Linked DNA regions of Notamacropus eugenii. The protein of the gene in region 1 purifies or fractionates together with the protein of each later gene. This does not show direct contact. Links are inferred from orthologs where the notes say so. Each region holds a gene or a part of one and is shown in the gene's direction. Other genes may lie near its edges. The genes, in order: CSNK1D, FAM110B, GAPVD1 and FAM83H.

Region 1 (8,156 bases):
ATCAACCCTTTACCTAGGGAGTAATTGAAAAAAGAATTCACTATCTGTTTCTTACAGAGAGGCAGAGAAGTTTCTTCTTATGTAGTTACAGAGAACTAAGTTACAGATGTCCAGGAGAATCTAATTTGTCTTCCTCTAGTTCCTACAAAGGTAAGGAAAGCATGTGTGTTCCTAGAATTTCAAATGCATTTGCCCAAGGAAAAATGCTGAATATGGCAATTAGGAAGAGTTGAAATAGTACTATTATTAGTCTTTATGGTTTTTTCAAGGCAAAGGGAAAAAAAAGTTGGACAGAGAGGGGGAGGAAGGTTTGTAGGCTTACCTGGGAACAGAGCTGTTACTTATAACATTGTTCTTATTGGGAAAACATGTTTGAAATTCCAAAGAAATAACTTTAAAACTTTTGAAACAGAACTCATTTGTAAGCTTGAGACTGCCTGTACTTCTTTGTACACTGTACAAACCACAATAGGCACAAAGATAGTTGGACTTGGTGTTTAGAAGACCTAAGTTTGAACTCTGCTTACTTACTGTATAAGCTTGGGCAAGCCACATTAAACTTCTGGGCCTCAGTTTATTCACTTATAAAACAGGGACAGTAATAGTACCCATGTCACAGGCCTCATTATCAAGAGATGATGTATATACACTTTGAACGAATGAGAGGAAGAGCATGTGATAATTTCTTACTTTGTGCCAGGCATTGGAATAAGCTATAACGGTATAAATGAGGTAATCCCTAACTTCAAGAAACTTGCATTCTGATAGGAGGAGGTCATCACATATGAAAAATGGAGGCCAGAGAAGTTGTGATCTGGGAAGTCACAGGGATGGGTGATGATAAGTGTAAAAAGAAGGCAGTCTTAAAACTTTAAAAATGTAAATTGTTATTATGACTTCTGGAGTATTTGTTGATAGATCTAATAATCTTACTCCTCTCGGTAGAAGGATTCAGAGTAATAGCAAATATGAAAAGCTATTATTTGCTTGATTAGTCCTTCTAGAAAAATTCATTATACTTCTGTTTTATAGATTTTAGAATCCACTTTCCTTTTTTCTCAAAACACTTACTTATAATTGAGTATTATAGGGTGGCCTCCTGCCACCCTAATAGAAGAAAGGGTTAAAGTCTTTGGAAGGCCAGCTATGTCTAAACTTCAGTACCTCCTTCCCCTGATTCCCAGACTATCTTACAGTTAACTATTTTGTATTTATGTTTGTTCTGCATATATGTTGTTTCCCTCATCAGAATGTAAGTTTTTTGTAAGTAGGTTTTTTTCATTTATTTTGTTTCCCCAACAGCTAGTACACTGCCTAGAACTTAGAAGGCATATAATCTATTGATCTATTGATTGAAATAAGAACATTAAAATCCAGCTCAGGTTTAGATAAATGTCCCTATTTTTCAGATTAGTAGACACCATTCAAGAAATAATGTTTCCTAGATCAAAGATCCTTTAAAAAAAGTCCTAGAGTCTTGAAGGTGAGCTTCTTGAGGGGAAGGACTCTTTTATTCTTGTCTTTGTATTATGAGTGCTTAGTTGTTGTTTGTCCTTTGTTTTTTGTCTTTGAAGAGGATCCATGACACACGGGTCTTGCCCTGTGTGTGAATTGGATTTAAGTGAGGCAGTGTTGCAGTCATCACTCTCACTCTCTTTTCCTGAGTCATGGAAATTCAGTGGCAGGACAAAAGTCAAGGATGATTGGCAATACTCTGGGATGTAGAGGATGACCCTGGTATCTTCTACACCTCACCAAACTCTAATCGTCCTGCTTCATGGCAGTTGAAACAAATTGTTGTCATCTGCCCATTCCACCAAGGAAAGTCTTCACATGATTGGGGTAGACATCTCCGTAACTCACGACATGTTTGAGGTCTGTTGGTTACCCTCATTCTGGTTTATCTGCTGAGAAGGTTTTACTGGAGTGTGGCCACAGTTCATGCTACAGCTTCTTGGAGTCACAGCTGAAATGTCAGGTGAATCAAGTAGACACCAAAGGTGGAGGAGCAGCCCTGAAAATGACTAGGCAAGCCCTCATACCATAGGTCCTAGACCTCCTGAACACAAGATGGACCCACTCAGCACTTAGCACACACTGGCTTAACCAATCAATCAATCAACCAGCATTAAGGACAGTTCCTGCCCTCAAGGAGTACTTTCTAAGTACCAGAAAAAAGTGAAACAGTCTTCTTCCCTGTCTTCAAGGAGTGTGTGAACTAAAGGAGGGGACATGTATATATGCAAATATATACATAATCTACACAAAATAGAGGGTAGCTAAGTGGCACAGTGGATAGAGCACTGGGCTTGAAATCAGGAAGACTCATCTTCATGTGTTCAAATCTGGCCTCAGACACTTAGCAGTATGACCCTGGACAAGTTACTTAACCCTGTTCCTCATCTGTAAAATGAGCTGCAGAAGGAAATGGCAAAAGCATTCTAGGATCTTTGCCAAGAAAACCCCAGATAGGGTCATGAAGAGTCCAACTCAACAACAAAATATACAAAATGAATATAAGGCGGTTTTGGAAGGGAGGGCATTCACAGCGGGGGACCAGAAAGTGCTAGAAGGAGGTGTTAGAACTGAATCTTCAAGAAAACCAAGGATTCCAGAAGCAGGAGGTGAGTAGGGGAAAGTGAGGAGAGAGAGCATATATTACAGGCATTGGGATGGCCAATGAAATGGTACAAAGATGAGAGATAGAGTGTTATATATGAAGTCTGAAACAAGCCTAGAATCTCTGGGCAGTAAAGAGCATTGTAAGACAACTAGAAAGGCAGGAAGGAACCAGAATGCAATTGATTTGATTATGTGCCAACCCTCCCTCCCCTTATATTAGAGACAATTTTTATAATTTTAAGTTTGTTTATTTTTAGTTTTCAACATTCACTCTCATAAATTTTAAATTTTCTCCCCCTCCCTTCCCTCTCCCCTCACCAAGATGGCTTGCAATTTGATATAGGCTCTATATATACATTACTATTAAACATTTTAACCTTAGTCATATTGTATAGAAGAATTTGAATGAATGGGAGGAACCATTAGAGAGAAAAAATATACAAAAAAAAGAAGATAATCTGCTTCACTCTGCATTGACTCCACAGTTCTTTCTCTGTATGTGGATGGCATTTTCCATCATGAATCCTTTGGAATTGTTTTAGGTCCTTGCATTGCTGAGAAGGGCTATGTCTATCAAAGTCAGTCATGAAATACTGTGGCTGTTACTGTGTACAATGTTCTCCTGGTTCTGTTCACTTCACTCAGCTTCAGTTCATATAAGAGAGACAATCTTTCTTGACATTAATTTTCTAGAAGGATTTATTTGAAAGAGAAAAATATTTTGGACAACAGCTGGAAACCGCTATCCGTTATCAACTTTCTGGAATATCTTAGCAGCAACCAAATACAGTGGTCAAGTTAACAAGCATTTAAGTGTTTGCTCTCAGAAAGAAAAATATTTCCTGTTCTCAAGGAGCTTACTTTCTAACATGAAGGAAGTGGAGGGGAGAGAAAGGGTACCCACCGGAAGAGATGGGGAATGGTACGGAAAATTGGGGAAAGTCAGAAGCACAGCCTAAAGAGGAATAAGACATGGTTGACTGGGGCATCCTTCTTAAAATGAAGGCTTAGAAAGCAACCCGGTAACCAGAGGGAGAGGCTCAAGTGGGCAGAGGGCAATTCCAGTATGAGAATTCCAGAGGTGAAGTAAACTTCCAAGGTGAAGCATGTTAGTGCAAAAGTCTAAGACAGTCAGCAGTAAGGCTTGGAGTTGGATGTAGGTAGCAATTCAGTATAGATTAAGGAGAAAGACTGGACGGTGGGCTTCCTCTGAATACTTCAGAAGGGCCGTCCACATTTTGAATCTCTTGTAATAAGGGATTACAGTTATAGGGCCTTTGTCAACTGAAATCCCTTCTCTACACCTTCCCTTACCCTTTCTCTGTTTTTGTTTTTTTCTCTTGTGAGGCTTGGCTATTTTTCATCCTACAGGTCTAGGTGAGAGAGAGAGGAACAGAGAGAGAGAGACAGAGAGACAGAGAGAGAGACAGAGAGGGAGAGAGGGACAGAGAGAGAGAGAGAGACAGAGAGTGAGACAGAGAGGGACAGAGAGAGAGAGACAGGGAGAGACAGAGAGACACAAAGACAGAGAGAGAGAGTTCTCCACCATGGATTTCAAAGGCTGCTGAGAACTCCCATTTTCCCGAGACTCCAAGACAAGGGCCCCAAGTCTTTGCTTTCTTGGGCTCTTAAAAGACCGCCTCTTCCCCTGCCTCCAGCTGCCCAGGACAAGAAGAGGGCTAAGTGGACATTCTGCAGGGCTTCCTCTCCCCAGCTTGTTTGCCTCCAGTCCTGCCCCTGCCCTGACCACGGAGAGGCCGGTGAGGACAGGCTCGGGCCACAGGCTCCTTTGGGCCCACGAGGAGGTGGGGGAAACTGATCCCGAACCCGAGAATCTTTCCCCAGTGCCGTCTGGGCGGTGATCAGGTAGAACTGAGCCAAAGGGGTCTGGGACCCCAGCCTTCTCCTCGGCTCTCCCCATTTCGGGGGTTTGTTTCAGAGGCTTTGGAGAGGGTCTCAATGGCAGAGGGGGGCTGGTTTAGAAAAGGAAGTGTTAGGTGGACGGGGGGGTCTGGACGGGGGGGATCTGGACGGGTCACTGCCTAGGGGTGCGGCGGGGGGGGCTGATGTACAGGTAAGGCTCGGCTTTCCCCAGGTGAGTCACTACTGACACGTCCTCCAAGAGACCACGGCCAAACCGATCGGGCCAGGCGCACCACACAAGCCCAGGGAGGCTCTCACCCCCAGCCCACCCGCCCAGCCGCAGGCTCCGGCCGCCTTTGCCCTCACACTCCGCTCTCCCCGCCCCCGCCCCGCTGGTGTCCCCAGAGCAGCGCGGGCCCCGCCCCGCCGGGTTGCTAGGGGAAGTGACGTCACAGCGCGATGGCGGCGGCTCCTTTAGGCGGCTGAAGTGGGATTTAGGCCCGGAAGATCCGAGTCCATCCGTGGTGGGGAGAGGGCGAACGGGGCCGGCGGGGGCCGGAGCAGGGGCGGCGGCGCTCGGACTGTCCCATCCGCCCCATATTGAGGCGCTGGGAGCGGCGGGGCGGCCGGAAAGCGATGGTGAAAGCGGGGCCGTGAGGGGGGCGGAGCCGGGAGCCGGACCCGCATTAGCGGCAGCAGCGGCGCCGCCTCCCCCGGAGCGCAGACCCAGGAAGCGGTCGGGAGGGGAGGGAGCGAACCAGGCCGGAGCCGAAGCCACCACCGTCATGGAGCTGAGAGTTGGGAACAGGTACCGGCTGGGCCGAAAGATCGGCAGCGGCTCCTTTGGAGACATCTATCTTGGTGAGGATTGAAGCCCAGTCCCCTCCCCCCCCCCCGGCCCTGCTCCCGCAGCGAACTACCCCCCTTTCCATACTGCCCCCCCCATACACTCGGCTTCCTTTCACCCCCCAGCCCCGCATTGCCACCCCCCCCCGCCCCCGGCTCCTGCCCTCTCGTCGCTTCCGCCAGTCTTCCTGGACCATCATAGCCTTTCATCACCCCGGGATGCTCTCCCCCCATTACCCTCTGCCCCAGGTTTCCCCATTACTGTGGTGTACCTCAGCCCAGACAAAACACCCCACCCCACCCCAGCACCTTTGTTGAGCCGCAGCCTGGGCTCGGTCCTCATACCCCTCGGTGGCCATCTCCGGCTCTCCGGGGGAATCGAACTCGAGTCTCGAGCCCCTGGAGCAGCTGACACCTGCCTGGGAAACCTGGTTGGGCTGGCCTTTGGGGTTTGCCTTCCCCATGAGCTAATTAATGGCCGGGGGGAGGGGAAAGAGCGGGGAGCCTGGAGGGTGTGAGACTTTTTCCAGCGTCCTGTTTGGTTGCTTGTAATTACTTTAGCCCCTTCTGAGAGTGAATCATTTTGCTTCTCTGGTGAATCCTTGGGGGAGATCTAAGACCCCCTGGTGTAACAGCTTTAGGTTCTAACCACTCAGACCATCCATCCATCCTGTTCTCAACTCCCCACCTTTTCCCACCCCCACCTCCCCCAATCAGATTCTGGCCCTGCCCTAGGAGACCAGATCATTGGCTTGAGGGCTCAGGAACCCGAACTGATTGGGGGTTAGAGGGTCATGGAAGGTCTGATACTAATTTTTTCCTGATTCTAGGTCTGACTTTTTGAGTCTCCAAAATAATTTCTTTGGAAAAGATCTTAACATCAAGGGGAAGGTTAATTCACATTTCATCAGCAGAACTTCGACCCTAGGGTTTTATTAGAATGTTAGAGATGGAAGTTACCTTAAGCAGTCCATCTCTCCTGCTCCTCATCCCCCATTTTTATAGCTTAGGAAACTGAGGCCTCGAAGAGGTTTTTTTACACGTTCAAGGTCATACAGCTTATTCATGATAGAGCTTGAACTCAAACCCATTTCTGACTCCCGGATTCGTATTTCTCTCCTTTATACCAGATTGCTTCTTTTGGCTTTGAAATTAAGGGATGAAATCAGCAGTAGCTCTTGAAAGTTAGAACAGTTTGAAATATATTGCTTCCTGAAATTAATATGGTTAAGAGTCTGAATGAAGAAATAAATTTTTGTGTCAATAGTGCTGTGGATTTGAGTTCAAATAACTATTATGTTTTATTTTTTTTTTAGATATGGTATTATGAAGGGGGTATTTATTGTAATGGATGGCTATATTTGCTATAATGCAATTGCCAGTAAGTAAATATCTGAGAGAGCTGTGTTCTTAGTTACCTGGGATGGTGTAACACAGTGCACCAAAGGAAATCTTTGCATTTTCAGTGAAGATCTAAGAGACTGGTGATCAGATTACTGTAACTGTGTCTGTGCTTTTTAGAGAGGATAGGGTAGGGCTTTTGCTACCTCTCCACTGTATTGTCCAAAAATAAACAAAGGCCATGTCTCTTTCAGAAGACTCTACAGCCCCATCTTACTGCTCTCTCTGGGATCCCCATGTGTTCAATAATCTCCATGTGTTTTGTACTCGTGGGGGAAAATGTCAAAACAACGCTAATGCAGTGTGGAAATGGAGAACTACACACTAGTCAAAAGTCCGGAAATTCCACAGTTACAGTTCCTACAGCAACCTTGTTACAGATACGTTCTTGCTTTAGTTCCTTTTTTCCTACCAAACATAAACTTGACAACAGTAGCAACCATGATTAGAGTCATAAATGGAGAAGGTAGAAGGCCCAGGGTGCTATATCCAATCCCTCTGTGACCTTGGGTAAGTGACTGAAAAGCCTTCCTGGGTCCCAGTTTCTTCCACTTAAATGGCTTTGGATAGATATCTTTTGCCACCAATTAACTTTTTTTGGGGGGGGAGTGTGGAAGGAGGAGAATTTTAGATAACTTGAATTCTTTAGGAATGTTAAGAAGGATCACAAATAGGATTGTCTACTACTGAAAGGATGTGCCATGAGTTGGAATGCCTACAAAATCAGTGCCATTATTTTTGTAGCCTTTAGTTGATGAAGTTTATATGTTTGTCTCACACACACACACACGCACACATTCTTCCAAGTGCTTAAAGATAAAGTAATTTAAACTTGCCTTCCATGCCGTGTTAATCAGTGTTACTCTCCTTTTAATGATAGGAAAGAAACCCAGAAAGGCTAAATAATTGGTGTCAGGCTTATATAGAATTAGTCATTAGCAAAACTACAGGCTAGTACCTGAGAATTTTCTACTCTGGAAACAATCCTTTGACTATTAAAATGTGGAAGGTAAGTTTGTAATTCATCATTTTCTCTGGGAAAACTAACTTTTGGATAAATGATCTATGTTGTTTCAGCATGTGGGAATGGAATAGGTGTGAGCAATAATACTTGAATGTGGCAGAAGTTTTGGAACTGAAAACTTTTTTTCCCAGTTTTTCTCATAGAAATTCTACTTTTCACAAGTAACTCCTTTCTAGCATGTTCTTGGAAAAATAGTGTACAAATTTAAAGAGTAAGGTGTTCTTTGTGTTGAATAGTTTAGGATTTTGCTTGGTTATATGTCTTTGAAGGTTAGATGTCATTTGAATTTCAATAATATCTCTGCTTTCTACTTATTGCTATAAAGACATCTTTTCTCCTTTCTTTTCTGGGTCCTTCATCTCACACCAGACCCAGGAAAAGGAATTGAGGATCTTGTAAA
Region 2 (7,539 bases), on another chromosome or scaffold:
ACCTGTGGAGAATGCTCAGTGAAGATGCTACCATGGTCTTCCATTCTCCCCAGAGTGTCCCTGGTTGGAGGGCTGTTGGAACTCCTGGAACCCTTGGGACATTCCCAGTAAGGGTGCTGTGGCAGTCTTCTATTCCTCTGGGACAATCCGAAGTGTGGTGTTACTGTGGGCTTCTCATTATCTTTTTTTGGGTATAGTCCTGGTTTACTGATTTGCCTCTTTGGACTTCTTAATAATTGTGTGATCTGGTATCTTTTTAGATTCTCCCTGGAGATAATATGGGAGAGCTGGGCTCCTCTATGACCTTTCATGCCTTAACTGGAAATCCCTCCATAAAAATACTGAGGTAAATTGAACAGCCTTAGGGTCAGAACAGGAACCAACTACCAGTGTTAATTACCAACGCTGTTTCCTTATCTCCATTTAATTTTATTACCTTGTTGAAAGAGACAGTGCCTTCTTCCTGATTTATCTATTTCTCTTGATCTTATTATATATTTTTATGACCTATTAAAATTTAGTAAATAAGAGTTTGTAAAACAAATCATACTTATTGTTGACTGGACTATGTTCTTATTTTTAAAAAATGTAATACTGTTCAAAATAGTAATATTTTCCTACATTAACTGGCTCTTGCAAATGCATCCCCAGGGGTAATTCTTGGTGTTTGCTTGACCCATCTCCTACAAAACAGAGAGTAATGTGTTTGCTATGCTACAAATACTTTAAATATTTGTAATATTCTGTGAAAAATGTCTAAGTAATATGTTGAATAAGGAATGGATGGTCAAATCCTGCCATATCCTTTTACAGCAAAAATCAACAATAACAACAACAACCACAGCTCTAAAACAAAAGATTTCTAAGTTTCTAGGCTGATGACTCAGTTGTTTGTTTGGGGGTTTTTTTTGAGTGATATTGTATGCAGGAAAATTCCAGCAGAACAAAAAATTTGGATGGTGCCTTGGAGGTTACTATTGTAGGATTTTATCTTCATTTTCAAACAAATGGGATGAGGAGGCCTAGTTTTTTTTTCAAAATACTTGGTAAGACAAAAGAATTACTGGGACTTTCTGACTTGAATATTTCATTATTTTCCTATCTCTGAATGCATATTATTATTATTAAAATGCTAAAGGAATATTAGACAACATATTTGCTTAAACATTAGTGACTCCTTCAGTATGATCTGGGTACTTATAGAACAAACCTATAGGAACCTATGTCTTCAGACTCACAGATCAAAAGGATCAAATGAATAAAGAAAAAGAATAGAAGAATTTGGTTCTTCTTCCTGCTTCTTGAGTATTCCTATCTATGTGACCTGGGGCAAGTTGCTTGATATATTTGAGTCTCAGTTTCTTTATCTGTAAAATAAAGATAACAGTAACTCTAGTACCTACCCTCATAATGTTATTGTGAAACTCAAATAAGATAATCTCTTATGCATGTCAGTTGAACTGAATTAATATGAGAGACTAACACTGATATAATTTATTATTACAGTGCTGACATTAGCATGTGAAAGAGTTCTATTTAAAACCTATTTTTCATGTTACCGTTCTTAAAACATACCTATTTTTGGCAGCAAAAAAAGTATTATGAGAATTAAATACATGTAGTCATTTCTGAGTTGAAGCTGAGAAAAATTTTCTTCCTTTGCTACATAAGCATTTTTGAGAAAGTTCAAATGTAGGTATAGCCTTCTTATACAATGCAATATAATACAATACAAATGAAAAGTTGTGTATTAATTGAATCATAGTTTAAACTGCAGTAACAGTTTGTTATAAATAATTCCATGATAAACCTTTTTTTTAAGTGAATAATTCTTTTGAAAATGAACAACTAGTGCTGAACTAATTTTGATATGTTTGCGTAAGCTGGGTATACTTTTAGTTAACATAATTAATGATTATGTCAGTTTAGATATCATACAATTAGTCCTTCTTAAAGTTCTAGTTATTACAAAATTCTGAAGGAAAATGATAACAAATATAGCCAAGAATAAGAATAGCAATTTTGAGTTATTCAGAAAATGTTCATTAATTAAAAAGTAGATTTGGGGGTCACACTGTAGAAACTTTGTCAAGGAATCAATCAATAAGCAGTTATTAAGCCCTTACTATGTACCAGGCACTGGTATACTATATATTCCAGGCACTGGGGATACAAATACAAAAGTAAGACAGTGCCTGACCTTAAGAAGCTTAGATTTTTTTAACCAGGGGTAACTTTTATCCATCCATCCAGCTAGCTACCTCTCTCTAAATTGGTTTCCTTTGTAACCCTATGTATATTATTTTATGCATTTAAAAATATTGTTATGAGAAAGGTTGATAGACTTCTGAAGAAGTAAATGGCACAAAAAAGGTTAAGAACTTCTGGACTAAGGGGATGTTCACAGATAAACAAATACAGGATACAAACCAAATAAATACAGGTCCAAGGGCACTAATGACTGTGGGAATCCCAAAGATAGGAATCTCACCTCTTAGAGGATATGGCACTTGACATGAACCTTGATGGGAGGTAGAAACTCTGAGAGACTGAGGAGAAAAGGGAGAATATTCCATACATGGAAAACAATTTGTACAAAGGCACACAGATTGGGAGATGGGGTATCTTATAACAGGAAGGAGCAAGTAGGGCAGCCTGATAAGTAGAGTGCTGTATGAACAATGTGTATAAAGAATAGCTCATAATTGGTCTATAAAGATACTAGCTAGAGCCAGAACAAAGACTTTAAAATAACAAATTTAAGTTTGTATTTTATCCTCAAGGTAATAGGGAACCACTGAACGTTCTTGAGCAGAAGAGGGGCATAGTTAGAGCTGCATTTTTGGAATATTAATTAGACAATTATGAGAATTGGTTGTATGGAGGAGAGAGAGTATAACTTTTTACGTTTAAAAGATTTCCTTTTTTTTTCTTCATAATACCTTTTAAAAAATCTTGAGGGTTAAAGTTCTTCAAGAAAAATTTTAAAAGTGCTTTAAAAAAAGGTTGTATTGAGCAACACAAAATTTAGAAAATACAAAAGGGCCCCACATAACCATGGTCACCAAGGTAAGTACAAATGACCAAGTATGGTGCCTAATTCTGAAATTCTGACCATGGCACCCTTCCCTCGCCCTCCCCTCCCCCCCTTCCCTTCATTCATCTCCAAAGGTTTCCTATCACCTTCGGGATCAAACATATAATCCGTTGTGGGGTTCCAAGTCTTTCAAACCTTGATGCACGTAAACCTTTCCATTCTTCTTTTATCTTAATCCCTGCCCCCACTCCCCTACTCAGATCCAAACACCCAGTGGCAGTTTCCCGAACAAGACCCGATCTCAGGGCACCTTCACTTGCTGTCAGCTTTCCTGACATTTCAGGAAATTTTGTCTCCCTCCTCATCTCTGTCTCCTAGCTTACTTCAAGTCCCATCTAAAATCCCACCTTCTGCAGCAAATCTTTCCCGATCTCCTATAAAGTTAATGATTTCTCTCTGTCGATTTCCAGTGTGTATACTGTATCTATCTTGTTTGGACATAGCTGTTTGCATCGCCTCCTCCGTTAGACTGTGAGCTCCTTGCGAGTCAGGGACTGTTTTCATACCTTTCTTTTGTATTCCCAGCGTTTAGCACAATACGTGGCACATAATAGATACTTTATAAATGTTAATTTACTGACTGGTTAATTTGATTGATTGACTGGGGGCAGGCTACCCCAACCCTTAGAATTTTATCTTTTGTCATTTCGGTGGTTTTGTGTGGTGGTGTTTTTTGGGTTTTAAACTCTGAACTCCCCATGGTCCTGCTTTGAAATAATAATAACAGTCACAATAAAGCTTGACCAGGGTGAGCTAACACAAGCTCCCACACGCCACAGCCCCAACTCAAACTAAGTTCCCTCCCTCAATTGCACAGTTAAACATCCCTTAAGCCCTCCCACTTCGGTGTGGACCAAACCATTGCCTCCACAAGCTAAGGCGGCCATAAACCCGACATCACTGTCTCTCTCGGCCAGGGCTCGGCAAGCTCACGGATCCCGATAGGAGCCGACCAGACCGCACTTTGTTCACCGCCGGTCTGCCCTGCAAGTTGGGGCGCAGGGCGCAGCGGGGGCCGGCAGCAGCCCGCTGCCAAGCTCCCCCGCGGGTGCGGGGGCCGGTGGGCAGGGCCCGGTTTTGCCGAGCTCTTCTTTCCTCTGCCAGCGGCGGCTCCAGCTCCGGGGAGTTTCATTCAGGGTCTGGAGGAAGCGGTTCGTGCACTGCAGGCGGCGGCGGCTTCTCCAGGGACTCTCGCTCCACTTCTGCCTTCGGGGTTCGTTAGTCGGCGTCTCCGGGGAGGCTGCAGGGGCCGTGTTTGCTGAGGCAGGAGGTGAGGCTTGGCCGGGGAGCCTGGGGGGGTTGGGGATGCGCGCCGCCGACGCTGGGCTGCCAGCCGTCGGAGCGAGCGAGCTTGCGAAGGCTGGAAGCAGGGGATGGCGGGGGAGCGCACAGCTGCCCAGCTGCCTCCGCCTCGGCCGCCTCCAGTTGTGGCAGACACCGCTGCCCGGGATACGCGGCAGAAGCCAGCGAGATCCTGCCCCCTCCCCCCAGGTCCTCGCCCTCCACCCCTTCTCCTCGTACCCCTTGTACGAGCTGGCCAGTGCCGGCTGCGGGGTAGCATCCAGACCCCATCTGTGGGTGGCAACAATGCGGATCAGCCGCAGGACTCTCGCTGGGATATGGTTACTCCCCCACCTCCCTTTCTTTGCACCTCTGTCGTATCTTTATTGGTTTTGCTTGATTTAGTTTCATAGGAAGGGGTACCGGTTATTAGGTCAAGCGGCTGAAGTTTCCAGCTTTCAGTGAGGAGAAAACTGCTGCTGTTTGAAGTTGTGTGTGTGTGTGTGTGTGTGTGTGTGACTTGTTTAGAAAGCCCCCCCAGATCTTGAAGTTGCAGCTTCAGAAGTTAATCTGGGAGGGGGAAGGGATCACCACTTACCCAGATCTTAGACCTACTTTCCTAGCCCGGTTTCTGTGGTTCTTCCTCAAAGAAAATCGAATCGTTTGTGCCAAATACTTCTGGGGAAACTACATCAATGATAATTTTGCTTTGTCTTCCCATCCCTATTTGGGAGGTTGCAACAACTGTAAATCCTGGGGCTCTGGAAGTTGTCCCCCTTCCTCCGCCCATTATGGTCTCAAATGTCTAGGCTTTCTTTGAAAGCACACAAATTTGAAGGAGAATTAAATTATCTTTGGTTCACTAGTGCCCCAGATCGCTCTGTGGAGTTCAGTAACTAGGCAATAAAACATATCCAGGATGCTGTGGGAAGCCCCTTATATTTGCTGCCTGAGCATTGGATTTCTGTCCTATTATTGTTATTACTACAGACATGGATAGTGCAAAGAATAGGGACGCCTTCCTTCAACCCCTCCCCCCTACCCCTTAAGCAGCTTTATGGGGAAGGAAGAGATCTTTGGTGTGTCCTTTAATTCCTCTGTAAAGTGGAGAGAAAACACCTGGTGTACAAGGGAGAATAGGAAGACTGTGCTGTTTAACCCCTTCAGGTTGTTAGGCAGATTAAGTAAGCATCATGATAAATGTGCTCATTTTCTATTCTGCCTGTGATGTAGGCATGCTCTGGGCTTTTTCCTTGGGGCCAAACTTATGTCCGATGCAAAATCTGGCACACATCTGTCACAACATTACATGAGACTAACTCTTTCAGTGGTTGACTTTGAAAGGGCTACTGACTGGTCTATTTTCAAAAGGGACTATGACAGTAAGATTAAAGAGTCCTCAATTCAAAAGATATTTCCTTGGTTTCCCCTCTGTTGATATCAAAGATCTTTTGTTTATTTTCTTCCTATTCAACTATTTTCTTCACTTTTATGATTCTGTTTATTGTGTTTAATATATGGCATCACAGCCTGTGGTCAGCCAAATATGACATGAAACTATTAACTTTATTCCCAAGTTTTACCTGACAAGATAGATTTCAGCATTGACGATATCTCAGTATATTATTATAGCTGATAATTGCTTAAGCCAAACATATGATACACCAGGATGAAATTACAAATAAAAATGATTTGGATAGGAGTAATTTTTTTAACTTCTTGGTAATCAGTGAATACTGAGTGAACTTCAGCTGGTGAAATATATTTGAGCTATTTGGAAATTTGCTTTTTGCCACACCCTTTTAGCTGTCCCCCCAAATATGTTTGTGGTTAACCCTACATCAAAATTAATTGATGTTGTGAGTTTCCTTTTTAGACTGAAGTACTGATTTGTATATTCTTACTGCCTGGCAAAGTTGGATTAACTTCCCAGTGTCTAAAGGTACATTACTATAGCGGTACATTGCCCTGGTACCTAAGTGCTGCATCCTGAAAGAGTTAATAGACAAAGTCTCCTAAGGCACCTAGCAGCATAAAGGGTCCCAGAAATTGGAAAGAATGTAGCTAGACACTATTTCTCTTGCCTATGCTCCTAAATCCTTTAGCAAGATGCATTATTGCTTTTAAGTTTAAATTGATCTCAGAACATTTTTCTTATACAAGTTGATGGTAATATTCCCAGTCAAAATTTACCATAAGAATATGTGAGTTGCCTAAAGTATCACACCATATTTAAGGGAATAAAAAAATAAAACCATCATATCTTTATTCCTACCCTTATGATGAAATTGCTAGAATGGAATATGTCTAGTAATTATGTGGATAATGAAGAAAAGACTTTCCTTCTAATGTGCCTGATTAAAGAAAAACTATGCTAGTTTTCTGAAAGAAGTTTCATACTAAATTTTTTTCAAGAAAGTAGACATTTTTATTTTCAAATTCATCTTCTACTCTTGAAAAGTAGTACATTATTGGCTCTTGAAAGCAAAGATAGTGCAGTGGCAGTAGATGGTGCTATGTGGAGTAAGCAGACTGTGTCACATTTATTGAGAAAGTAGGATATCATAGTCCATAGTGAGAAAAGCATTGGATTGGGAATCTGGAGATGTACCCTGACTTTAATCAGAAATATGACCCATGGCAAGTCATTTAACTTCTTTGGGCACTTCCCTCATTGGTAAGTAGAATGGATTGGACTAGTTGGCTCTCTGTATTTAACCTTCCTTGCCATAATAATAGTAGCTATTATTTTTATAGAGCCTCCTATTAGCCAGTCACTGTGCTAAGCACTTTACAGTTATCTCATTTGATTCTCACAATAAGCCAGGAAGGGAGGCGCTATTATTATGTCTATTTTCATTTCTGTTGCCCAGCATTACTGGGCAAGTATTCCACACTCCTGCATATGTTAAAATATACATACAGATTGATTTTGTTGTTGAATCATTTCAGTCATGTCCAACTCTCGGTGATCCCATTTGGGGTTTTCTTGGCAGAGATACTAGAATGGTTTGCCATTTCCTTCTCTAGTTCATCTTTACAGCCGAGGAAACTGAGGCAAACAGGATTAAGTGACTTGTCCAGGATCACACAGCTAGTACCTGTTTAAGGCTATGAGGTCTTCATGACTCCAGACCTAATGCTCTGACTACTGTATCCCT
Region 3 (7,666 bases), on another chromosome or scaffold:
ACTTCAGGAACTTGAAGAGGGAACCTTAGTGGAATATATTTGGTTGGAGAATCAGAGGAAGGAGAAAAAGAAGTCATGTTGTCATAGAAATAAGTTACAGACCACCTGGACAGAAGGAGTCAATAGAAATAGCTCAGAAATCTGGCAAGAAAGTATGAGAGAGCAGTGATGGGGGATTTCAACTATTCAGATATGTGCTAAAAGCAGAACAGCTGGTTCACTCTTGAGTTGTCTTAATGAGAATTTTGTTCTTCAAAAGAGGGACAAAGAAAGAAGAAAAACTATTTTGTGATTCTTTTTTATTTATATCAGACCTAATATTATATTTATTGATATCAGACCAAAAATAAAAAAAGTTTTTCAAGTGCAGATTATACATCTTCATTGTGGATTTTTGGAAAGAGGAGAGGACTGATAGGCATAGTGTAATGTGTATGATAAATTTCGACAAAGAAGATTTTGAAGAGACTACAGAAAGATTAGATAGATTGCATGGCCTAAAATTCTTTGTGGAGAGTCAACCAAAAAAGAATGGGAAGTACTCAAGAAAGAAAATTTGAAGATACAATTCAATTCATCAAGTATTTATAGCACATGGCAGATACTGTGCTAAGTGCTAGGAACACAAAGACAGAAAAGTTCCTGTCCTCAAGGAACTTATATTCTAATGGAGTGATAAAGTAAATACACAAACAAGTGAATATTAAACCCTAAACAAAAAAAAAATTCTGATTGTGGAAAAAAAAATGAACTTGTTTAAAAGACATGTAGGCCTACAAGGAATGGATCTAACAATCTGCATTACTGAAAGACACATGGAACCTAGAGGTAAAGGTCAGCAGTGGAGGAGGATTATAAAATATTAGTAAGATTTTGGGAAAACAGTGCTAGAGGCAGTACAAGTTCAACATGAACTTTAGTAGCTGTTCATGAATGTTGGGACAACAAAAAGGGTTTGTTTTTATTTTAAAAAATATGAACTCACAATAAACTCTATCACTTCTTTAAGAGAAATAACTAATTCCTAGATGCAGGATAAGTCTCTTATTTATTTGCTTCAGGTATGTGCCTAGGACTCACTTACTAAGTCCTGAGTGGGTTGAGATCTATGTAGGAAACTTGTGACATCAGAATGAAATCACAGGTGCTCTGAGTGTGGGGGACAAAAAGAAGGGATATGACCCATGTTCAGATAAGACAAGACAGGATGATGATAACAGAGTGCAGAGAAATGGTTGTTACTCAATTCTTATATTCTCATTTTGCTTCCATTTTCACTGCTAAGGGGAAAGATCTTTGGGTTAGAAAGAATGGAGCAAAAATGTTTAATGAAGAATTAAAATCCTAAAAGAATGATGAGATGATAAGAGGATGTTTAAATTGCATTCAATGAATTGAATTCATCAGGTACTAGAATTGCTGAGGGGTCAGTGGTGAGCTTTGAAAGATACTGGAGAATTGGAAAGAAGTCACAAGATTGCAGAAGGGTAAATTTTGTCCAGATTTTCCAAAAAAGGGAGATTGGTGTGCTCAACAGATTTTAAATCCCATAAGATTCCATAATACATTATCAAAGGCATGGATTGGGAACATAATAAAGGAAAACAGAGATAAGTAAGGATCATAGTAGCTTCAACAGGAATGAGTCATGCCAGATTACCCTCATTTCCTTTTTTTGACAGGGTTTTGACTAGACTGGCAGGGAAATGCTTTAGATGTAATATACCTGGATTTCAGGGGCATATTTGACAAAGTATTTCATGCTCTCTGCATTTGGTGGCATAGGGGATAGAGTGCTGAGCCTCCTCAGAAAGACACTCACGAGCTCTGTGACCTTGGGCATGTCACTTAATCTCTGTTTTCCTTAGTTTTCTCAACTGTAAAATAGGAAGAATAACTCCACCTATTTTGTAGGGTTGTTGTTAGGACTCAAATGATATAATATTTGTAAAAAAAAAAATGTATTAGCACATATGAGGTACTATATAAATACTTATTCCCCTTCGCTTCCCTGGATAACAGAGAAAGACATGAGCCAGATAATAGAATAGTTTGGTGGATTTAGAGCTCATTGAATGATTGGGCACCCAAAAATAGTGATTTGTGACTTAATATCAACATAGGAGGTAAATATTTAGTAAAGATGCCCAGCAACCTGTTTTTGGTCCTGTGGTGTTTAATTTTTTTTTCATCAGAGACCTTGGTTGAAGGTGTAAGTGTGTCATGCTTGTCAAATTTGCAGATTTGGGTGGGCTAAGATGAATGGCGTAGCTACCATGTTGGATGACAGCTGGGATTCAAAGGGATCCTGACAGGCTACAGCATGAAGTGCAAAGTGTAAAAATCATAAATTTGAAATAGATAACTGTGGAGCCTTATACTTCTTTTCAAAAAGATCTACTTCATGAATAGGGCTTGGGTTAGGCATGACCAGATAAAAGGTCCTGTGAAAAAGATGTGGGATTTTTAATGGATTACAAGCTCAGGAGTAAGTTGTGGCAGCTCCACGGCCCTGTGCAACAGAAATTGTATTCCCCAAAGCCTCTATGATTCTAAGATGTGTTAAAAAAATGCAGTTCTGTTTCCTTCTGTCCTGGTGCAATACATTTGGGGTGGGGTGGGGATTCATGCGGATGCTGAATCACTACTTCTTGGGGTTGTTGTGAAAAAGGATTCTTGTTCAGGTATGGGTTGGAAGTGATAACCCGTGAGGTCCCTTCCAACTCTGAGACTCAGAGCATGTGAGATTTCAAGGAAAAGGTAGACTTGATCTGGGTTTTTAAGAAGGGAAGGGTTCCAAGAGATGAAAAATAGCTAAGAAGATTAAGGTTATGGTGGTTGTATACAGAGTTTATTGGAACAAGCTGTAACTGGCTTCCAAGAACTGGTTATTAAAATTTCATTTGTGCATTTATACCCCAGAAATTTGTCACTAAAAATTAGGGACTGATTTATTGTTTTATTGTCTAGACTTAATACAGTGTCAATAATCCAGACCGAACTTAAAGATGTGTATATGCATATACTATCTGTCTGTTTACTTAACTATCTGTTTTCTTGCAAGGGACTGAAGTTATCCACAAACTGGAAGCCTGGTGAATGTAGGCAGATAATAGTAACTTTATATAGTGCTTTGAGGTTTGCAAAGTGCTTTCAGCTATTATCTCGTTTGAGCCTCACAGCATCCCTTGTTGTATTTATTTCAATTGTAGGTAGATGGTGGGAGAAAACATTTTTAAAAATTCATTTTATTTTATTTCCATAAAGTTATGCTTTCTTCCTCCTCCCCCACTGCTTTGGGAGGAGAAAGCAAGAAGAAAAACCCTGCTACGAACAAACCATTGATTTTCAATGAAAAAGCAAGGGGGGAAAACCTGTTATAAACAAAATGTTGACTTTTCATCAAATCTGTGTTGATCTCTGATACAGGATCAGAGGCGCTGGGTTCAAATTCCTCCGTTTCTTTCTACTAGTGTTAAAAGAAGATGCTTCTGTTCTCTCTCAGTTTCCTCGTCTGTAAAAAAGGAGGGGGCTAGCCTGGAGGACAGATGTAAATTTCTGATCCTGTGACCTGCCCAAGGTCACAGGGCTAGCATTGAGGGACTCATGGGTGGAGATGTTACCCAGCACACCGGAGAGGCAGGGGAGGTGGTGAGAGAGCTGGCATCAGGTCCAGCCTCGGACTCCTGTTGGCTGTCTGATGCTGGCCAAATCACTTAAACTCTGAACATGCCAGGTGACTGGCACTAGGAGACACGGTCCGGTGCTGGACACAGCGCCTGCTGGGCACGGAGATGATGTTGGACTTACCGCAGTTTGCCCATCTGCATTGGTAGAGAAAAGTTATTCACTAGATCCCAATACCAATGAAAACACAGGTTCGAACCAAAAAGAAAATTCTGCTTTGCAGAGGGAGTGAGGCACAGAACGAGAAAGCGAAACGCCCAAGGTCGTACAGCTCTGATCCAAGTACTAGGAGGCAGGAAACCCGGAGAAAAAGACAGTCCGGAAACTACAAGTCCCGACGGCCACGCGGCCTGTCCCGCTCTGCGCATGCGCATCGGTGCGGAGGCTGGTGGCCCGGCTGAGTGAGGGGAGGCAGCCCCTGGACGCAGCGAAGGTAGCAGGGAGCGGCGGTGGCGGCGGACGGAGGAGCTGCGACAGGCGACGCCTCAGCCCCAGCCTCAGCCTCTGCCCGGAGATTGCCTCCGCCCGCCCGCCCTGGTCTCCCCTGGTGAGTGTGGGTCCTCACGGCCCTCTGCCCCCTCGGCTCCCTCCGCCCTTTCCAGGCCCGGTCCCAGTCGCCTGGGCCTAGGCCCACAGCCGGCGCCTCACGGCCGGTCCGGAGCCCGGAATGCGTAGCGTCGGCCCCGGTGCCAGACCCCGTGAGGCCTGGCCCTGCCCTCTGCGGCTGGGAGGGTCGGGGGAGGTCGGGACGCACCCCGAGGGGGCGAGTGGGGAAGTGTGGGGGGAGGGGAAAAGCGAGGGGGGAGGGGGCGGAAAGAGGAACCGGGGCCAGGGCTGCCAGGTGGGAGAGCCAGCCGGGCGGAGCGAGGAGGTCGGCCTGCGTGGCGAGGCCCGAGGCCGGGGCCGGGAAAGGGTTAGGAGGGAGGGAGGGGTGAGGGATGGAGGAAGGGAAGGCAGAGAGAGGAGGGAGGAAAGGGCTTTGGGGAAAATAAACAAGACAGAGCAGGTGGAGCCAGCCGGAGTTGGGGGGCGGGGGGCGGCGCGCGGGGGGCTTGAAGTTTCAGTCCCTAGCTGGTAATTCACTGAAGGAATAGACACGGACCCTTCCCGGAAACCCTTGTAGACCCTCACCAATTCCGGGGCCTTCCCTCGGATCACCTCCGATTTACCCCCAGCACACGTCTTGTTGGTGTTCTTGTCGCCGTGCTTCTGCCCTCCCTCTCCCGGGGCTGGGGTGAGGTAACATTTATATAGTATATAGTAAAGAAGAGTTGTAGACAGACTGCTCTGGGAAAATCTGGAGTGGGGAGGGGGAAGCAGTGGAAGCTTTGTGTGAAGGAGCTCCAATCCAAGTTGACTTTGATGGACGGGGAGAGTTTCAGTAGGTCTGGATGTAAAGAGAGTGGTTTCTGGACTTGGGCATGAATGTACAGACAGGAGAGGGCTGGATGGAAAAGGAGGTATGTAGTGTATTTTGGTTGGAAAGAGTGCATGAAGAGGAATTGTATGAAATATGATTAATAAAGTGCATTGGAACTAGGCTCTGGGGTGCCTTTAGTGAAAGGCAGAGGAGTTTGTTGCTGTTTCAATCCTGTCTGACCCTTTGTGACCCCATTTGGGGTCTTAGTGTTTTATATTATAGGGATATGGGAGTGGAAAGAATCTTTTATTTTTAGGTTAGGGCAGGGAAGGTGTAGCTTCTATGCGTTGTAATAATAGCCATTGGGGATGAACTTATATTCCTCAAGTTTCATATACTCTTAGTACTGAAAGAGACCTTAGTGATTATCTAGTCCAGTCTCCTCATTTTATAGAGGAAGAAACTGAGACCCAGAGAGGGAAAGCAGTTTGGCTGATGTCACACAGCTAGTAAGTATCAGAGCCAGGACCTGAACCCAGGTGTCCTGTTTCCAGGTCAGTGCCTACATGAACTGATGACTTTGGATTCATAATTTCCTTTCCACTCTAGTAGAAACTGGAGACAGTCTTAGCGCTTGTAGTTAGGAAATTTAGGGTTCCTATCTGGCCTGTGACACTTACTATCTGTGGGACCATGAGCATGTGAAAGTTATTCAACCTCTCTCAGTCTTGGTATAATGGTGATAATGCTACAACACTACTTCCCTAGTGTTGTAGATTCAAATGTTATGTAAACTGATTTGGAAACTTGAAGTTCTGTAAGTTATTAGAATATTAAGATTTGTGTTCTTTCACTTGTTCTTAGGAGCATAGTCAGAATTGTTCATTCTATTACACTTAGCATATTGTTATCTACATCAAGAAAGGGCTCAGTAAGAAACTTTGTCTTTGGAATGGCCTAAGGGAAATTTTGGAAGCCTTATGGGAAGAAGTGGGTTCTCCATAGAAACTCTTTCGGGATATTTGGCTTGAGATACAGTGGGATCTGTTATTTCACTGTCAGAATCTTCCTCTACCAAGGTTTAGTAAATAAGGATATACAAATCACAAAGTGACTAAAAGGAGGGGATCAGTATCCACAGTAGTTTGCTAATTAGAGGAAGGAAAAGATTTAGGTCACAGCCGAGTTAGTTTTGAAGGCTAGCATAAAACATAAACATTTAATATACTACGTTACAGTGTTAAGCCAGGGTAATAATTTGAGGAGGATAATAAAGTGGCTTTGTGGCATTTAGATTTTATACCTATGCTCCCTCTGGTTCTGAGATATGGGAGGCCTGTAAAGTCCTCTTGGGAGTTGGTAGCAGAACAGTTTTTTTAGTCTTAATTTAAATGTTCTGATTTATAGACAGACACATGCTACCACTCTCAAAGACAGATTGCTTTTTCTTTATTGAGAATGAAAGGCATGTGATCTGTCTTGCTGTTAACCTTCCCTTCAGGAAGGAGGCAGACTTGAAGGTAAATAGGTTTGGTGAGTCATTCTCTTAAAATTCTCTTCTAGCCTCTCTAAAGTTTTATTGTTTTTCACCTTTGTGTTGGAATTAACCTCACCAGCCAATAAATCTTCCTGTTTTCTCAATATCTGGATGACTTTACTGTTGCAGCTCTTAGTAGAATAATTGTTAACACCCTGTGTGAGAATCCCCCCTGTAAAATAATAATGATGAAAAAAAGAGTGAAGCTAATTCTTCATGAAGAAAAGGGAGAAAGGTGATAAAATGGAATTTTACTGTATTTGATTCAGACAATTGAATATTGAGTGAGTTCTCTGAGGAGACTACATCTTGTCTCTAGTTTACATAATGGGGATTATAATGGTTGAACTACCTACTTCGCAGATAGTACCCTTTACATAATTGCTTAATAAATGTTTGTTGAAGTGCATAGAGTCAAATGGTTTTCTAAGACCTAATGTTTTATTTATGTAAGCAAAATATATCACTGTTCTTTCTCCATAAATATTTTAACAGGTTGAAATTTGAATCTTTTTATTCATTTTATGTATTTATTGAGACCTGGTGCTTTTAATGGAGGTTTGGTTTGGGGGAGCTAATCTTACACATTACTATTCGTAGAGAGGATTACTGCATTGTGGATTTAGATGGTATCTCCCAGTTTTGGTATGGTTCAGTTAAAGACTTGGAAATGAAGGGGTAGATGAAGAGGTGCAGTGAGAAGAGCATTGGATTTGGAGTCAAAGAGTCCGAAATCTCTGCCAGACCATGATACTAGCTTGCTGTGTTATTTTGGGTAGATCCCTTTGCCAGTCTTAGCCTCCATTTCTTTATTTGTGAAATGATGGGGTTTGATGCGTCAGAGGTTTTTAAACTTTGTGTCATTGACCACTTTGGCAGTCTGGTGAAAATTGTGGACCTCTTCTCAGTATGTTTTATTGTCTATGTTCATAATGGAAGGAAATGCTAAATTTTTAGTTAAGTATTAGTTAAAATTAAGATGTAATATTCTTCCCATCCAAGTACATGGACAAGTACTTTCCTCTTGAAGTCTAGTTACGCACCTGATGGGGGACCATGTATTTCAAGTTAAAAACCCTCAA
Region 4 (8,049 bases), on another chromosome or scaffold:
GGCACAGGGCTAAGCATGGAGGATAGAAAGAGACAAAAGACAGTCTTGGCCCTCAAGAAGCTTAGAATCTAATGGGGTCCTGGCAACATGCAAACAAATGCAAATGTTCACAAAACAAGCTAAATTCAGGATAAATAGGGATTAAAAGAGAGAAGGCACTGGAAGGAAGATGAATTTGGGAAGACATCCTATAGAAGGTGGAAGATTAAAAAAGCCAGGGATGTCAGTGGTTGGAATGGAGGAGAGAGAGTGTTCCAGGCAGAGGGGACAGCCAGAAAAACATGCCTACAGCTCAGAGGTAGACTGTCTTGTTAGCAAAACAGCCAGGAGGCCAGGGACACTGGATCAAAGAGTACATGCTAGGGAGTAAGGCAGGTTATGAAGGATTTTGAACGCCAAACTGATTTTCTATTTGTTACTGGAGGGAATAAGCCATAAGGAATGGGGGTGGGGGTGTATGTGTGACAAGTTTGGATCTGCACTTTAGGAAAACCATTTTAGTGTTTGAATAGAGAGAATGGATTGTAGTGGGGAGAGGCAGATTGATTCATCAGCAAAAGTGATGAGAGCCTGTACCAGGGTGGGAGCAGTGTCAGAAAAGAGAAGGGAGTATATTAGGGAGATGTTGTAAAGGTGACAACCTTGGCAACAGCTTGGAAATGGGGGGCGAGTAATAGAGAATGGAGAATCCAAGATGACTCCTGGGTTGAGAACCCAAGCGCCTGGGAGATCTTGACTCAAACTCTGTCTCACTTATTAGCCCTATGACCCTGTGCAAATCACTCAGCCTTTCTGGTCTCAGTTTGCTCATCTGTATGAGACTGGGGGAAAGTGTAGCAATTACTTCAGAGGGTTATTTAATGCTAAAACCTTAGAGTGTCAGTTACTATTATTGTTGTTATTAAGAGTTGATGAGGGCCTGAATTAGGGAGATGGGAATTTGAATGGAGAAAAGGAGATGGATTTTTCTTTCCTTTTTAAATTTTGCTTTTTATTTTTCCTTAGTTACATGTAAAAACATTTGTTTTTAAAACTTTGAGTTTCAAAGGGAGATAGACTTAAGAGATGTTTTGGCGATATAATCGACAAACACTGACCCCTGGTTGTACATGGAGGGTAAGGAAGAGCAAAGGGTCCTAGGATCATAAATTTAGAGCTGGGATAAACTTGAAAGGTTTAGTCCAACTCCTTCATTTTACAGATGAGGAAACTGAGATCCAGGGTCACACAGGTAATAAGTGACAGAGCCAGACTCCTAATCTAGCACCCTGTCCACCGACCACACTCCAGTCCCAAGTTACATTGCGATGTCTGTCTGATGTAAATTTGAACATGTCTGTCCAGTAGCCAAGAACCCAAACTCAGCTCTTGGCTTCCAAGGGCTAGTCCATTTCCTTCTGAGGTAGCCTCAGCTTCTTCCCATAAAGCATAAAGCGGAAATTGAAGCCCCAGAAAGATCTGTGACTCACCAGGCCTCCCATTAAACCAGGAGGGGGTTGGGTTTGGGGACTCACGATAGAAGTAGCTTCAGTGCCCCCTGCTACTAAGATTGGAGGTGAGGCAGCACCTATGATTCTCCTCTCCTTCCATGCTTACCAATAGCCCTACGCTACGTTGGCAACTACTTTCTCCAACACTTTGCTGGATCTCGCCCAGCACACCCCTCCCCCCAGGGCTTCTCTTCTTCCACTTCTTAGGACCAATGGGGAGAAGAAAGAAAGGGAGGGAAGGGTGGAGAATCAAGGTGATGGGGGAGGGGTCTGGGAGGCCAAACCTGAAGGGCCGGTAGGTTGAGGAGTTTATTGAGCTCTGGGCGTTGGTATGACTCACCCAAAGCAGACTGTGGTGGGAAGAAGTGAGGAAGGGGAGGGATCAAGATACTACTCTTAGAGAACCCCCACCCATACCCCTTCTTTAATACTGTTTGTCTCATCTGGGCCCCACCCAATTGCACCCTTCTCCCCCTCTCTCCTATTTTTCTCTCTCCTTAGGACCAACCTCAACTGGACTTTTACATATCCATGTACTTTAGAGGAATTTGATTAACAATTACATTTTGGTTAAAGAAGCCCCCTTTCTCCACTCCCATAAGCAAGGAAGTCTTGAGTTCATGTGAAATATCATGTAAATGATGGAGTGGTGAGGGAAGCGGGGAGAAGTGCTGAAGTGGGACAGGAGTCAGCACTCTCTTGGGCCTTGTCCCTGGGTTCCCTGACTGCATCCTGCATGATTCCCCATTCTCATGTTCTCAGATCAAGGAGGGACCTCAGACGTCTAATCTAATCTAACCCATAGTTAAGTGGGAATCCATATTCCCAGCAAGTTGTCATTCAGTATTTGTCTGTGGACCTCCTGTGGAAGCCCAGTTCACTTTTGGACAGCTCTTATTGTCAGGAACCTTTGCCTGACATTTCACCCTGAATCTGCCCTCCCTTCAGCATCCACCCTTTGCTTCTCATTCTGCCCTCTCAGGCCACTATTCTGCCTCGAAGCTCTTTTACTATTTGGAGGCAACCATCATGCTCCCCCCTCAGCTGGGCCACTCACAGCTCTCAAACACATCTAAGCATTTGCTCATCTAAGTGCCCTCCACTGACTCCCAAACCTACCAACCCTTACAGGTTGTCTATGAGCTCAGGGTTCCCTCAGTGATCAGCAGACAGACTGATCCCTCTCTTCCTACTTGTTACATCCCTCTGAGCCTGCAGAGGTCAAGGTGTATCCCCATCAGCCCCAATACTCACTTAATTCTGCTTATGTGCCACCAGGTACTGTTAGTACTCTTTTCTTACATATCTCATGAGGGAGCATGGTATAAAAGAAAAAGCCCTGGACTTGGAGTCATGAGAGGCCTGGAGTTGAATTTAGCCTTTGATATTTCCTAGAGATGTAACTCTGGGCAAATTACTTAAACTCTGAGCCTTGGTCTCCCACTTTATCTGTTGGTGTGAGGATCAAATGAGATAATGTATGTAAAACACTTTGTAAACCTTTCAAAGACTCCATGTGTCAGCTAAAATCTTCTCAAATAGCTCTGAGCATAGGGATTATATTCTCTGTACTGTATTCCCACAGCATTCCCCTAGTAGCAAATATAGTCATACCCACACGGACTTCAGAATTGTGGAATTTGGGATTTGTTTCCCTGGTCAGTGAAGGCTCAGTCAGTGGGCTGGGAGGCTGAAGTGTTTGTTAGTCAGTTAGTCAGGGAGGGCTTGGATTTTGGGTTTCTTATTATCAGTGGGGATCTGGAATTCCTCTGAATTCCTAGGATTTTTGGAGCAGAAAGGGATGTTCAAAATTATTTAGAGGAGTCAGACTTGTCAGCATCACACAGTAGGAAAGTTAGAATTCAAATTCAAATTCAGGTCCTCAGCACCCAAATTCAATGTTCTTTCCTTTATACCATATGACCTTTCAAAATTAAGATACCCTTAATATTCTTTTTTGAACAGCTACACTATTTGGACAGCTAACTGATCAAAGGTTTGTCACTACAAAACCAACTGGTCAGTAAGGGTTCAAGGCGTCTCTGCTCCTTAAGGGTCCAGGGCACACAAGATAAGTGAGGGTTTGGGGTTTGAGTTTCCCGGTCTATCAGCAATGGGTTGAAGTGACTCCATATAAGGCAGTGCTGTGGGTATACGCCCAGCCCAGAAACAGGACCCAACAAGTTGCTGTAAACACATTGTCAGATCCTGCCTCTGTGAAAGCTGCTTCTCTTGCTCTGTCTCTGTGGAGTTCTACTTTGGTTTGGCTAACCAGGCCTGTGGCCCATAAAGTCCCTGCTGCCATGTGTCAGCCTGTTAGTCAGCCTCTGAGGCCTGGCTGAGAGGCGGCAGCTTGGAGTCCCTATAAACTCTCCAACCTAGCCTGGCCTAGCCCCAGCCTTCCTGGGCTGAGAGACACTCAGAAGGCTCTCAGGCTAGAGGTGCCGGCTGGAGGACCGGGAGGGTGCTTGGGGGAGAGGCAGACGGACCAGACAGGATACCGGCTGGCTGACAGGCAGGCAAGCACGGGACCACTGGGGGGTTGAGCCTGAGGACTGGCCTATCTTGGGACTCAATTCTGAGAGTTTGTGCCATCCTCAAACACTATCTTTGCTGGAGGCTGGTCAGAGATAACACTTTGGGCAACATGACCAGGCCCTCTGGGGTGTTGGGGAGTGAGAGTGGTCTGTGACCAGTAGGGCAGTGCAGATAGTCATTTCAGGGGCAACAACCTAGACTGGACATCATGTCTGGAAAGCGTGGTCGGAACCGTAGACCCCGAACTAAGAGACAGGGACGGGGTCGGAAGGGAGGGGGTGAGACAGGCTCTGTAGTTGAGACTAGGCCACTGGCCCCAGGGGGCCCCCAGGATGGGGCGGGTCAGGGAAACCACGTGATAGAGGAGATGGGTGAGATGGGCAAGTCAGTTCCTGTGGGGCACCCTGGACCAGTGGTCAGGTCAGATTGTTCAGGTCCAGTAGAGGTGGTAGAGGCTTCAACAGCAAGCCAAGAACTGGTGTTGGTCACAGCCATGGAGCTGGGGGGATATGGGGCCAGCTGCCCTGACCCAGCCCTGGCACAGGAAGTATTGAGACTCCAAGAGGTCCAGCTGTGTCTGGAGAGGGAACAGCTCTTATTGGAGGACCGCCGGCGGCAGATTCAGCTGCAGTTGCAGCTGGAGGAGCAACTATGGCGGGAAGAGCAGCTATGGCAAGAGGAGCAGCGATGGCTTGAGCAGTTACAAGAGGAGCACGCATGGGTACGGATGGAGGGGATTGAGTTAGCCCTGGAGCTGGAGCAGCTAAGGACAGGTGGCTTTGAAGAGCAGGAGGAACAGGTGCATGGTCAGGTAAGTCATTGAGAGAAGAACCAGGGCCCACAGTCAAGGGGTACCACTGGAGGTGGTGTACGGATTCAATAAGAGATGGATGAACCACTGATAGTCAGTACTCCACAGATAGACTGGTCATTGACATCTCAATCAGTGGACAAGCTGGTCACTGACCCTGAGGGGACTAGATAGAGAGGACTATGTCCTCTTGGGAAGGGTACTGGCTGATCATTGAGTCTTTGGGAAGGAATAGCTACTGTGTATAGGGAAAGTTGATCGGAAAAGGCAATAGAAAAGACAGATGGCTTTAATGGTATATTGGGCATTTGATGAAATGTCTATCTTAGAAGGAGCTGGGAGATAGATCATATGATATTTAGGGAGGCAAACAATTTGGGGAATGAGAACATATTCTGGGCAATAGGTTGGCAAATATGTGATGGAACATGTTCTGGGAAGGGGCTGCTGAAAGATATGATACAGCATGTTCTAAACAGGAGTGGGGAGAACTGGCAAACATTTGATGGATCATGATCTGGGCAAGGGGGTTAGCAGTTGTATGATGGAGTGTATTATAAACAGGGATTTGGAGAATGTCTGATGGCATGAAATGAAATGTGTTCCAAGTAGGAATCTGGAAGGATGATAAGCATGTATGATGGGCTATATTCTGGGAGGGCTGTGTAGAAGCAATGATGGAATATTTTTTGGGAAGAAGTCAAGGGGGCTTAGTAGACATATGTGATGGGGAATATTTTGGGCGACTTTGCTGGCCAGGTGAGGAACGTGAAAAAAGTGAAATGGCCACTTTCAAATGGACACACAGGAGACTAAAGGTCTGTGAGTTGGTTTTACAGGGCTGAGTACAGGATAAAGGAGGCTAGCCTGAGCTAGGCAGATGATAAGAAGAGGGGAGGCATTGGGGGGAAGTAATTCCTACGGAGAGGATACATATGTACCTATGTATTCAGATCATACTGTGTTAGGCACAGTGTGTATATGTGTGTTTTGGGGGCAGTGTTCTCATTAGGAGAATGTTCCCAGGAGGAGGGTATATGCATGTCTACATGTGTATATGGGGAAACATCTGTTTACTTAAAGTGCAGGGTATACATTCATGTTTGTTTGTGATGGGAGAGACTGGCTGAGTAAGGTGAGTCAGGACTGATGGGGAGCAGAGAAAGCTCATGTCCGAAGCATCCTTTTCTGCCCTGCCCCCATCTCCCCTTAAGGGCTAGTTTCCTGGTTGATTTGTCCCCTTCCCTGGCATTTATTAGGTGCTTAGGGATCGGGGAAGCACGCCATGGCTGTACTCATTACTTCATTAAGGAGGCTGACCGTAGCCTCAGACTCAGCTGGGGCTATTTCAGGGACTCAGATGTGAGGCTTGGTGGGGTGGGGGGGATGGGGAATGGTATTAAACAGTTGCTCTCTGAGTCTCCCAGGGGGTAGGTTCTCCTGGGTTCTTTTATCCAGCATGGAGAATCCTGCAAGATGTAGAGGGTTGGGACATAGAACTGGAGGGAATGGAATGAGAAAGGTCAAATGTTGTGAGCAGTGTACTACATTTCATTCAGTATATGCTTGCATAGATTAGACATGGATTAGTGGTAATGACATGGATTGGTAAGTGCTGATAAGTGGGAAGCTTGAAGCATCTCTATGGGCATAACCAAGTTTGAAGATAACAGAAGAATGAGCTTTTTAGGATTAGTTTAAAATATCACCAGATCATCTTTGGTCAACCAGGGGTCAGTCAGGGTCTCTCAGAAATGTCTCTGGGGCGGAGTACACTCAACTCAGCTAGGATCTCTCAGGGTTCACTAGAGGTTTCTCTGGGATCACTCTGGCTTTTACTGGAACTGTTTATTCTGAGGACCAGAGGAGACAATATATTTAGTCTGACGCTGCTTTGTTCAGCTATAAGGGGTTTCCTGGCCTGGAAATGAACTCCCTCTTCCTCTGAATCTTATTTTCATTCAAGGGTCAACTCAGGTGTCACCTTTTCCTTGAAGCCACCCCTCATGTTCCTAGGTGCTAACACCCTCTCTCTCCTTAACTTTCCTTGTCCTGGGCATCCTTCTTTCCATGTTGGACCTCTTGTACAGAATGTAAAGTCTTGAGGACAGAGCTATTGTATTTTTGTCTCTGTATCCTCAAAGCCAAGATCGGTGTCTTGCAAAATAAGTCATTTAAAGTGTGTTGGATGGGTTAAATTGAGACTCTGTTTATTCTGCCTGGGTTAGACATTTGGAGTACTGCGTTCATTTCTGGGTGCCATACTTTAGGAAGGGCACTGATAAGCAAGAGACAGAACAGAGGAAGGCAGCCAGATTGGGGAAGGACCTACCATTCATCTCATGAGTAATAGCTGAAGGACCCTTCCATCTACTGTGTGTATTCTGTATCTACCAATTAATTTACATATGTTTCTGCCCTTAGCATATATCTTTGAGGGCACGGACGGCAATGTCTTTTTTTTTTTGTTATCTCCAAAGCTTAGTCTATCTAGTGCCTGAACATAGTAAACTCTTTAAGTGCTTGTTGATTGAGTGTACTTGGGAATGATTAGCCTAGGGAAGAGAAGACTTGGGAAGTCCCAAAAGTCCGAGTGCAGTTTTAACCTTTGGGACACCCTGTATATGAGGCTGTGCTAATTTATAGGAATATGGCTTTTGAATTGGAGGTCACCTCAGAGGTCATCTGATCCAACCCAATCATTTTTCAGAGAGGGAAACTGATGTAACTCAAGGTTATATGGGTAATAAGTACTAGAGTCATGATTTGAACCCAAATCCTGACTTTAAGTGCAATGCTCTTTCTAACATAATAGCACCCCTTTCTTAAATCTCTTCTTAGTCTCTACCCCATTTTTGCTCTTACCTTCCCCCTCCAACAGACTAAACCCATACCCAGCCATGGACAGACCCACATCAAATGTCACTTGATCTCATCACCAAATTCAAAGCCAAAATCTCAACAACAATCTTTTTAGTAGCCTATCATCTAACCCCCCACTTCTCCCCTCGCTGACCCCCTCCCTCCCAGCAAGGTTACAAGAGTGACACTATCTTGAACTCTAGGGGCAACACAGGCTTCTCTTTTGGCCACTTTTCCACTCCAAATTCAGGAATTAAGAAGGAATCTCTGAAGATGGTTGGGGATGGAGTGGGGTTTGAAAGGTGTCTCAGTAGTCAGAAGTGGATTGAGAAGTTACAATCTGAGGGA

Evidence for each region.
Region 2: the proteins of CSNK1D (region 1) and FAM110B purify together in Homo sapiens (affinity purification with mass spectrometry; 3 studies listed by BioGRID and IntAct, counting the BioPlex papers as one, with this or other methods). This does not show direct contact. The link is inferred for Notamacropus eugenii from reciprocal best matches to the Homo sapiens genes CSNK1D and FAM110B.
Region 3: the proteins of CSNK1D (region 1) and GAPVD1 purify together in Homo sapiens (affinity purification with mass spectrometry; 5 studies listed by BioGRID and IntAct, counting the BioPlex papers as one, with this or other methods). This does not show direct contact. The link is inferred for Notamacropus eugenii from reciprocal best matches to the Homo sapiens genes CSNK1D and GAPVD1.
Region 4: the proteins of CSNK1D (region 1) and FAM83H purify together in Homo sapiens (co-immunoprecipitation; 5 studies listed by BioGRID and IntAct, counting the BioPlex papers as one, with this or other methods). This does not show direct contact. The link is inferred for Notamacropus eugenii from reciprocal best matches to the Homo sapiens genes CSNK1D and FAM83H.

The regions. Positions count from the first base shown.
Region 1 is NC_092873.1:327,096,432-327,104,587, reverse strand, and holds the start of CSNK1D (casein kinase I), read left to right. Parts: upstream 1-4,932; 5' UTR 4,933-5,270; coding exon 5,271-5,346; intron 5,347-8,156. UniProt on the Homo sapiens protein: Essential serine/threonine-protein kinase that regulates diverse cellular growth and survival processes including Wnt signaling, DNA repair and circadian rhythms. It can phosphorylate a large number of proteins.
Region 2 is NC_092875.1:276,397,366-276,404,904, forward strand, and holds the start of FAM110B (protein FAM110B), read left to right. Parts: upstream 1-4,235; 5' UTR 4,236-4,367; intron 4,368-7,539. UniProt on the Homo sapiens protein: May be involved in tumor progression.
Region 3 is NC_092872.1:447,544,377-447,552,042, forward strand, and holds the start of GAPVD1 (GTPase-activating protein and VPS9 domain-containing protein 1), read left to right. Parts: upstream 1-4,044; 5' UTR 4,045-4,234; intron 4,235-7,666. UniProt on the Homo sapiens protein: Acts both as a GTPase-activating protein (GAP) and a guanine nucleotide exchange factor (GEF), and participates in various processes such as endocytosis, insulin receptor internalization or LC2A4/GLUT4 trafficking.
Region 4 is NC_092875.1:85,157,907-85,165,955, reverse strand, and holds the start of FAM83H (protein FAM83H), read left to right. Parts: upstream 1-4,444; 5' UTR 4,445-4,521; coding exon 4,522-4,839; intron 4,840-8,049. UniProt on the Homo sapiens protein: May play a major role in the structural organization and calcification of developing enamel. May play a role in keratin cytoskeleton disassembly by recruiting CSNK1A1 to keratin filaments. Thereby, it may regulate epithelial cell migration.